Linked DNA regions of Macaca mulatta. Each later gene encodes a partner of the first gene's protein in a complex. Links are inferred from orthologs where the notes say so. Each region holds a gene or a part of one and is shown in the gene's direction. Other genes may lie near its edges.

Region 1 (4,543 bases):
AATAAGTACACCTAGCTCATAATAAAACAGCAGGAGGTGTTGCTATTACATGGCAAACTGGCTACCATCATTAACCCCTGGCTTTCCCCTTTGCTGCAGTTAATCCCATAACCACCCTGTGAGGTGGATAGTGCCACCCTCTTTTGACAGTCAGGGAAACCAAGGCTCAAGTTACACTGAAAGTCTAGGACACAGGTGGGACCAGAATCTTGGGGCTTTTCTCCCAATAGAACCATTCCCAGCCACGTCTCCAACCCAAGCCTCTCTTGGAAGCCACCCTATCCCTCTGAATGCATAAGCGTTGCAATCCTGCTTATGTGGCCAGAGGAGGGTGAGTACTCTGGCCACATAAGCCGGTGTGAGGAGATGCACTTCCTGCTAGGGCAGCTCAGGGACCATTACAGCCCCTTCTCAACAGGCAAAACTCTGTGGCGCCTTGGACACTGAAGTGCCACAGAGATCTTCTTAGCATCAGCTCCTGCACCCCGCCCTCCTCTAGCCAGCCAGCCATGTGTACTCACAGATGTTGCCTCCTGGGCTCTGGGGACTTCTCTCCTTGGGTGAATCCTGCTGCTTCATGTTCTCTTCAGAGTTCGGGTCCTCCATGGTGCTGGGACCCTTCTAGTCAGGAGAGGAGCGTGCATGAGTGAAGCTGTTCATCTGTTACCAGTCTTAGAGGGCACCCTAAGTCTATGACCTTTGACATCGCCATAGGCTCTCCTTGCCTGCTTTTGACCCTTACGACATACTATCTCCTTGAACTCTAATTGATGGAGTTCTTGCTAAGAGAAGCTTCAAACCTCCCAAAAGACTTCCTGGGTTTGGGACTCAAGAGTCTTTTCACTGGTGTGACCTATGACCTGCTGCATCAAACTAACTCCCTGAACTCAGCGTGGGAGTCTTGATCTTTGACACCAGCGTCATCCCAGTCTCAAGTATCTTGGGGCAGGTAGTGATACCCACCCTTTATTCCAGTTCTTCCCGGGAAACATCCTCTGACATCCTGTGATTTTTGTTCCGCCCAGAGCCCCCGCCTCCCACGCGCACTAGCAGCTGCTATCCCGCTACCCTCAAGCGCTGCCTACAGGTTCCTGCTCCCAGGCCTCAGTTTTCCTCCGTACAGCAGAGGGCTGCCTTTCGCTGCGCCTGTCAGTCGCTAGCTACAGCCCCGCCACCCAGAGAGAAGTGGGATAGCCCACTCAGTCTCAGGGCCCCCGTGGTTTCCGCGCCCTTTTGCCAGATGAGCCTCTCGGAGCCGAGATCCCGGATTTGGCATCCGGCAGTAGTATAGTCGCACCAGTCCGGTCCTCAAAATAACGGGAGGGGTCCTTCTCTGCACTATGGTGCGTTATGATGACGTTCACCCTCCCGCGGCGTAGGTACCGAAGCTTTTTGCGCAAGTCTGGGTAGGTGCTCGTGGTGCGCAGGCGCGTTGACTCCTTCATTGTTCGAGGCCCCGAGGCCGCCGAACAGGGGCGTGAGCACTTCGGCCGTTCTGCGCAGGCGCTGCGAAGGGCTAGGTCTCTGCGGTAGCGCTTCCAAGACACACCCCCTTGGAAGAGGGAGTGACGTCAGGTTAAAGCTACTGGGACGCGTCCCGGCATCTTTAAATCACCGCGCCCTGGCCTCTTCGGCCTCCGTCCGCTGCGGCCGAGGGGTCGGGCTTCTCAGTTGCTGACCCACCGCCACCGACTGCGCTCATCCCGTGGGTCTGCTTTTTGCTCGGTTTGTGATGTGGAAGGGGGAAGGGGAAGGATAAAAATAACAATGCGTCCGAGGGAGGAGGGACTGGAAGCCAGATTTCTGAGGTTTTATTTTTATTTATTTATTTTTGAGAGAGTGTCTTGCTCTGTCGCCTGGGCTGGAGTGCGGTGGTGTGATCACTGCCCACTGCAGCCTGCAACTCCTGGGCTCAAGCGATCCTACCGCCGCAGCCTTCCGGGTAGCTGGGGCTACCGGCGCACGCCACCATGGCCCGGCTAAATTTTATTTTTTGTGGAGACGGAGACTCTACCAGAGAGTCCCACATGTTGGCCAGGCTGGTCTCGAATTCCTGGCCTCAAGCGATCCTCCCGCCTCGGCCTCCCAAAGCACTGGGATTACAGGCATGAGCCACCGCGCCTGATTTCAGAGTTTTTGAAGCAGAAAGGGAAACGTTTCCATCTAGAAAGAGGGCGGACAGACAGGGCGCCTGGAATCCCTGGGGAATAGGGTCTGGGCTCTGGATTTTTTAGGTCCTGGAGAGAGACACTCAAGAACCGAAGGGGACCGGGGGGAGGACTGAGGCCTTTGTTCCGAGTGGGGCGGCTAGGAAAGGAAAAGGCTAGGTGCTCCCTGACCCAGGTCTTCTCCACCCGTTGCTTTCCAGCCATGCCTCCGCCGCAGGGTGACGTGACCGCCTTGTTCCTGGGGCCTCCTGGCTTGGGGAAGTCCGCGCTGATCGCGGCGCTGTGCGACAAGGATGTGGAGACGCTCGAGGCCCCCGAGGGACGGCCGGACTCCGGGGTTCCCAGCCTAAGAGCTGCGGGCCCAGGCCTTTTTCTGGGCGAGCTGAGCTGCCCACCTGCAACGCCGGGGCCCTGGGCGGCTGAAGCCAACGTGCTGGTACTGGTGCTGCCCGGACCCGAGGGGAACGGGGAACCCTTGGCTGCAGCCCTGGGAGAGGCAGCGCGGGCCGCCCTGGCCCGAGGGACCCCGCTACTGGCTGTGCGGAACCTCCGTCCTGGGGATTCACAGACTGCGGCCCAGGCCCGTGATCAGACAGCAGCTCTGCTGAACAGCGCGGGGTTGGGAGCTGCGGATCTGTTTGTGCTACCGGCGAACTGCGGCAGCAGCGACGGCTGCGAGGAGCTAGAGCGCCTCCGGGCGGCGCTGCAGAGCCAGGCAGAAGCGCTGCGGAGGTGAGTGCTTTCTGGCTTGGTCCCTTAGTTGAGACCCTGCACACCTAGGTCCTATTTGAGATCCATGAGATCCCTTCCCCAGTGAGTTTGGGGCAAAAGCTTAGCTCTATTATTATTATTTTTTTCCCAAGGGACAGGGTCTCGCTACGTTGACTAGGTTGAATTTGAACTCCTGGCCTTAAGCAATAATCCCGCCTCAGCTTCCCAAAGTGCTAGGATTACAGGCGTGAACCACCACACCCGGCCTTTTTTTTTTTTTGAGACAGGGTCTCACTCTATCGCCCAGGCTGGAGTGCAGTGCTGCTATCCTAGCTCACTGAGGGCCTCCACCTCCTGGACTCAAATGATCCTCCTGCCTCAGCCTCCAGAGTAGCTAATAGGACAGGCTGCAAAACAGGATCTCACTGTTTCCCCAGGCTGGTCTTAAATTCTTGGCCTCAAGCCATGCCCCCACCCAGGCTTCCCAAAGCCCTAGGATTAAAAGGGAAAATCTTAACACTTTATCTGCTGGGGCCCTGAGGCTCCTTTTTCTAGGCCCTGCCCCAAGCAAGGTGATCCGCCCTCCCTGGCCTCCCAAAGTGCTGGGATTATAGGCGTGAGGCACTTTGCCCAGCCCCCTGGAAGATTTTACCTGAAAACTCTAATCCTTGAGCCCTCCCCACCATCAGTTTGGTTTTCAAGTGACCTAAAGCCACACCAGCAATGAGGATCTTGGGGCATCCTCATCCACCTCCTTTCTCCAGCTCCCTCTCGTTTCTGTGCCCACTTGCTGGCTACCTCCTGAATTTGCTCTACCACCTGCCAGCCTCCTCATTTTACAGACTTTAAAATGAGGCTCAGAGAGGGACAGTCCCTTGTCCTAGTACACTATCATCTTTTTTCCTTAGCCTCACCTGGTGGGGAGTCACCTTAGCCACTCCCCCTTGGTAAGAACTAGTAGATGAAATTTCTCCCCTCACTGACCCTCCTTAGGCCCAGCCTCTGAAAAGAGTGCCTTGGCGACCTTGTCTGTCTCAAATAGTGCTGGACTTGTGTTTAGGCCACAATACAGTTGCGATTCTTTGTTCTAGGCCCCACCTTCTCTGAGTTTTGTCCCACCCAGCACAGCCGACCCTTGGAAAAGCCCCGCCCCCAAATACTGTATTCCATGGAAGTCTTAGCCCAATCCCCATTTTAGGCTAGAGTGGGAAACCTGCCCTTAAGTCCACCTGTTCAATAATCAAGACTCCATTATTGCTTGAAGCCCCGCCCATATCATCATGGCCCCTCCCCATCTGGTTTCTGTTTGCCTTGCCGTCAGTCTGGCCTTTCCCTTTCCTATCCCTGCCCCATTCTGGGATCATTAGGAAAGCTCCGCCCTTGTCATTCATAGCCCAGTCCATGTCACCCAGCCCCTCTTCTGCCTTTGACCCTGACCCTTCTTGTCCCCACAGGCTCCTGCCCCCGGCCCAGGATGGCTTCGAGGTGCTGGGTGCAGCAGAGCTGGAGGCTGTGCGTGAGGCCTTTGAGACCGGCGGCCTGGAGGCTGCGCTGTCGTGGGTGCGCTCAGGCCTGGAGCGCCTGGGCAGCGCACGGCTAGACTTGGCCGTGGCCGGCAAGGCTGACGTGGGCCTTGTGGTGGACATGCTGCTTGGATTGGATCC
Region 2 (4,498 bases), on another chromosome or scaffold:
TAACAAAAATACTTTTAGAATGAAGCTAGATTCCACAGCATCAATCAGGAATTTCCAGTGTAGGAAATGATGAACTACCATGTTCAAACATACAGGCTTTACAGGTGCATCAGAATCACAAGCACGTGGCAGAGTTCATGTGTCCAATTAAGTGAACATTCTTGCTACATGTTCAGCAGCTTATAAACAGATGGTGACCCACACCAGACTGCCTTGATGACTCTGCTTGGAAAAAAGGCATTACGTCACTGACTGGAGAATCTCAAAGCATATGTCCGGGCAGGTGACACACACATAGCTCAGGCTGTGATTGCTAAACCACTTCCACAGCCAAACGAGGAAAACCATCTCATGACCAGCTCTCAGGGGAATTCTCCGAATCTGACAGTCACCTCTAACTCCTCTGCCAGCTAAGATTAAGGGGTCTGTGATCAGTGATGTTACACTCCTCAAATGTGCATTTTTTTTTTTTTGAGGCAGAGTCTTGCTCTGTTGCCCAGGCTGGAGTGCAGTGGTGTGATCTTGGCTCACTGCAACCTCCACCTCTGTGGTTCAAATGATTCTCCTGCCTCAGCCTCCCGAGGAGCTGGGACTACAGGCGCCCGCCACCATGCCTGGCTAATTTTTGGGGTTTCACTACGTTGGCCAGGTTGGTCTCCAATTCCTGACCTCAGGTGATCCACCCGCGTCGGCCTCCCAAAGTGTTGGGATTACAGGCGTGAGCTACCGCGCCCCGCCTCAAATGTGCATTTGTGATACCTTTTCGTAAATGTTTATTCAAATATTTATTCACGAATAAAGCAAGAAAATGGGATTTGTTTAAATTCAATTTCTAGGTCCAAGGCAACCTATTACAGCTGTCCCTAATACTGTACCTCCGGGTTGTCCTCAGTGCCACCTCCTACAGTGTCCTCAAACACCACCCCTACCATACTGAGCCCCCAATCTGTCACCCCTCCGAGCAATACTCCCCAACTTTCAACGCCCTAAACAGCTCCTTTGTTATCGCCAAGCACTAGAAACCCCTCATGTCATTCTTACCCCTAAAGACCGTTCTTGTCACCAATTCCCCATTCAGACTTTCCCTATGAACCGCTCTAAGCGCTCTCAACTATCAGCCACACCCCCAAACAGCCCTCAGTAAGAGCCCTACACTATCAGCCAGACGTTTCCCGCCACCAACGCTCCCGAGACCCCACTCCTGTCACCAGTTCCCCGAACATTCCTTCCTGGGGTCGCAGATGCTGCTCACAGATGTCCCCGTAACCAACTTCATCACCTCCGTAGCCTAGGATCCTCCGAGGGGGCCATCCGCTGCCCCGCCCCTTTACTTGCGGCCCGGCCCCTTGGCGCGGCGTCCTGGCAAATAGCGCCGGAAGCCCCGCCCCCGACCGGTTGCTAGGCTCCGACAGCCGGAAGTCCCGCCTGCCGTGTAGTCGCCGCCGTCGCTACCGCTGCTGCCGTCGTTGTTGTTGTGGTCGGTGCGCTGAGCTCCGCGGCTCCGAGAGCCGGTTCCGTCCCTTTCCCGCCGCCGCCATGAAGTGGATGTTCAAGGAGGACCACTCGCTGGGTAAGCACTTGGCCGTCGGCCGGGCTGCTGGTGGCCGGGGCGGCGGGTGGGCCCCCTCCCCCACTGTGGCGGCCCTGGTTCGGGTGGAGTGGGGCGGATGCCCTGCTCCGGTCTCGAGTCGCCCAGGCCCTGGTGCCTGGGGCAGCCGCCTCCTGACCCCGTGTCACCCTCCGCGGGCCCTGCTGGGAGCAGTAGGGGACAGGACCGCGGCCGCAGGGACGCCGGAACCAGGGCCTGGGCTGTGCGCAGGGCGCAGGAGGAGGAGGGCCGGGGGCCGGAAACCGACCGGGGGGCAGGCGCAGCCGTCAGCCCTGTTTGTTTCTCCCACAGAACACAGATGCGTGGAGTCCGCGAAGATTCGAGCGAAATATCCCGACAGGGTTCCGGTGAGTGTTTGGACTCTCCGCCCCCTCACCTCGCTGTCACCTCTGTCGTCTGGGACCCGTAATAGGCCCCAGGCCATTCAACAGTTGACAAGTTGAGATTCCAGTCCCAGTTAATAGTAACTGACAGGCCAGACCGGGATGAGGCGTTCCAGGGCCGGGGTGTGAGGGGCTCGGGCTGGTGCTGTTCAGGGTGCCTCAGTGCTGAATCTCCCGATCTAGGCCAGCGAGCCGTCTGCAGCCTCGGGGCTCCCTGGCCAATTATGTAAGGAACGATGTTCTAGGACAGGGCAACAGGTCACTGCCACTTTTGGGAATGGTGGTGGAGCGAGACTGTCACTTTGGTCTTGGAAGTGGTACTTGAGTCTCAGGACGTTCATCTTTTACTTTGAGCCTCCATCTTTACCTAACTTCTAGCTCCGTTACCTCACCTTGACCCTGTCATCCTTGCCTGACCAAAATAATGTGAAAAGCGCTGAAAACCCTTCTGCCATGTTTTCTTCTTAGTCAATAATAAATATGATGTTATATTTCTTTCATGGTTGGGGAGACAGTTTTGTAATCCTTATTAATTTTTAATGGACATTAAGGCCTGTTATTGTAGCTCTTTGCTTGTGAATAATTCGTCTCAGGAAAGGAGTAGGAGGGACGGATTTGAAACTTGTTCAGAGAGGAGCAACAGGCCAAATGAAGAGCTTGGTTCTTGACTGGCTGAAATTCCAGGCATTCCCATTAGTCCATCCGTTCTTGTCTCCTGTGTTCCTTGGGAACACAGTAGTGTTTCTTGTAGTGTGAAGGTGGATCCATTCTGGGGTCCTAGAGTAACGGACCATGGATGAAATCCTCCCCAGATACTCTTAGGTCTGCCCAGATAAAATGTGGAAAAGCTTAGTAGTAAGGGCTGCATTTCTCTTACATAATTGACCACAGAAAAGCACTTACCGTTTCCCTATAACACATTTATATCAATTCTTAACCTCCAGAGCGTGTGGTTTATTAAGCCAAAGACATATTTTCTCCTGCTATGCAGTTTCCCACCCACCTCCTTGCCCACACTCTGTTCGTCAGCTCCTCAGCCATGTGAGGCCAGAGCCTCCCTTTAGGAAACGCAGTCCTGACCTCTCTTTACTTTCCCAGGTGATTGTGGAAAAGGTCTCAGGCTCTCAGATTGTTGACATTGACAAACGGAAGTACTTGGTTCCATCTGATATCACTGTGGCTCAGTTCATGTGGATCATCAGGAAAAGGATCCAGCTTCCTTCTGAAAAGGCGATCTTCCTGTTTGTGGATAAGACAGTCCCACAGTCCAGGTGAGAGGTGTTTACTAGATGGGCCCTCTGGTATTAGACATCTGGTTGGCTGCTTATGAAACTCCAAACCTTTGGAAGTCTGAAAACTCTTAGGGGTCCTGACTAGAAATCTGTATTTTGTGCTCCCTGACATCAGGGGCTCCAGGAAAATAATGGCTGCAATACATAAGAGTGCATTTTGGATTCACAAAATAGAACAAGGCCTGGACTTTAAAAAAAATGATGAAACTCAGCCTAACATCTCCAAGAATCTTTTAAAACAGTTGAGAACTTATTTAGGCTTAAGCTATAGGTAGAACTGAGGCCTGAAATGAGGTTTTCTTTCCCGAAGGCAGTCCTGGCACGCTCCTCCACTGGGAGCCTGTGGGCCCTGCTGAGGCTCACTCAGTTAATCATCCAGTTTGCTTGCTTCCAAACTTGGTCAACTCTTTGACATTGTAAGTGTCTATAGTTGCCTGATCCTCAAGTCTGACAAAATGACTGCTGCACAGTAAAGGGCTCTGAAGTCTTTTTATAGACTCATACCTCCCTTGGTAGCACCTGCTTTGACTGTCAGACTATTGTGCTGCCTGGAAGCAATCTTTGGGACTGTAACTTGTGGCCTGAATGTAGGCAGAGGCATTAGAATTCCCCTTTTCTGTGTATTTGATAGCCCAGCTTTAGTCCCCTGTGGAAAGAGGAAAATGGAGGGGCTCCGTCTGACATCCTAGTCAGTCCTTTCCCATTACTGAGTGGGTAGTTTTAGGCCCTGATCCAGATTCTGGCCCCCACCTCTCCCCTGAGTGTGAGTTCCTGGCCACATCTTATCTTAGTGACCCAATGTAGGTTTCATATACCACCCCCAGAAGTAATACTTCTAAAAGTGAAGGCTTTCAGAAGCCCTGGAAACTAGCCCAATGTTGCCCACATAGGTTCCTGTTGAAAATCCTTGAAGTCTCCAGAAGAGGCCTCTGCCAAATTCCAGTTACTTACTTCTGTTAAAGGTGGAAAGCTCTGGCTATTTTTTGGTCTGATTTCCTCTTTCCCAGTGTCCTCCACCTCCACTTCCTGGTGTCTGATAGAAAGGCAGGGGAGAAATGGAAGCTCCCTCCCTAAGGCCAGCGTTCAACCTGAGGAGACAGCCCAGGGCCTGCCCACTGGACACCACTGGTCTGCCACAGCTGTAGCTCTGGAAGCTGTGGTGTTGCTTGAGGTGATCTTGTCACCCATAGGGCTCTTCCAACCTTCCTTCCCAG

Evidence for each region.
Region 2: the proteins of IRGQ (region 1) and GABARAPL2 are in contact, whole or in part, in a crystal structure (PDB 8Q6Q), measured with the Homo sapiens proteins. The link is inferred for Macaca mulatta from reciprocal best matches to the Homo sapiens genes IRGQ and GABARAPL2. Residues at the interface, in NP_001007562.1 of Homo sapiens: Asp7, Thr9, Leu11, Pro47, Leu49, Phe57, Pro70, Trp71, Glu74, Pro181, Ala182, Gln183, Asp184, Gly185, Phe186, Glu187, Val188, Leu189; in NP_009216.1 of Homo sapiens: Ser10, Glu12, His13, Cys15, Val16, Glu17, Ala19, Lys20, Ile21, Ala23, Lys24, Tyr25, Arg28, Pro30, Lys46, Lys48, Tyr49, Leu50, Val51, Pro52, Phe60, Ile63, Arg67, Phe104.

What each region holds. Positions count from the first base shown.
Region 1 is NC_133424.1:56,010,131-56,014,673, reverse strand, and holds the start of IRGQ (immunity-related GTPase family Q protein), read left to right. Parts: upstream 1-1,684; 5' UTR 1,685-1,725; intron 1,726-2,368; 5' UTR 2,369-2,370; coding exon 2,371-2,900; intron 2,901-4,333; coding exon 4,334-4,543. Other genes in the region: ZNF576 (zinc finger protein 576), read right to left, coding at 522-606. UniProt on the Homo sapiens protein: Autophagy receptor that specifically promotes clearance of misfolded MHC class I molecules by targeting them to the lysosome for degradation.
Region 2 is NC_133425.1:70,918,908-70,923,405, forward strand, and holds the start of GABARAPL2 (gamma-aminobutyric acid receptor-associated protein-like 2), read left to right. Parts: upstream 1-1,412; 5' UTR 1,413-1,536; coding exon 1,537-1,570; intron 1,571-1,900; coding exon 1,901-1,956; coding exon of another isoform or gene 1,957-2,014; intron 2,015-3,065; coding exon of another isoform or gene 3,066-3,090; coding exon 3,091-3,263; intron 3,264-4,498. UniProt on the Homo sapiens protein: Ubiquitin-like modifier involved in intra-Golgi traffic. Modulates intra-Golgi transport through coupling between NSF activity and SNAREs activation. It first stimulates the ATPase activity of NSF which in turn stimulates the association with GOSR1.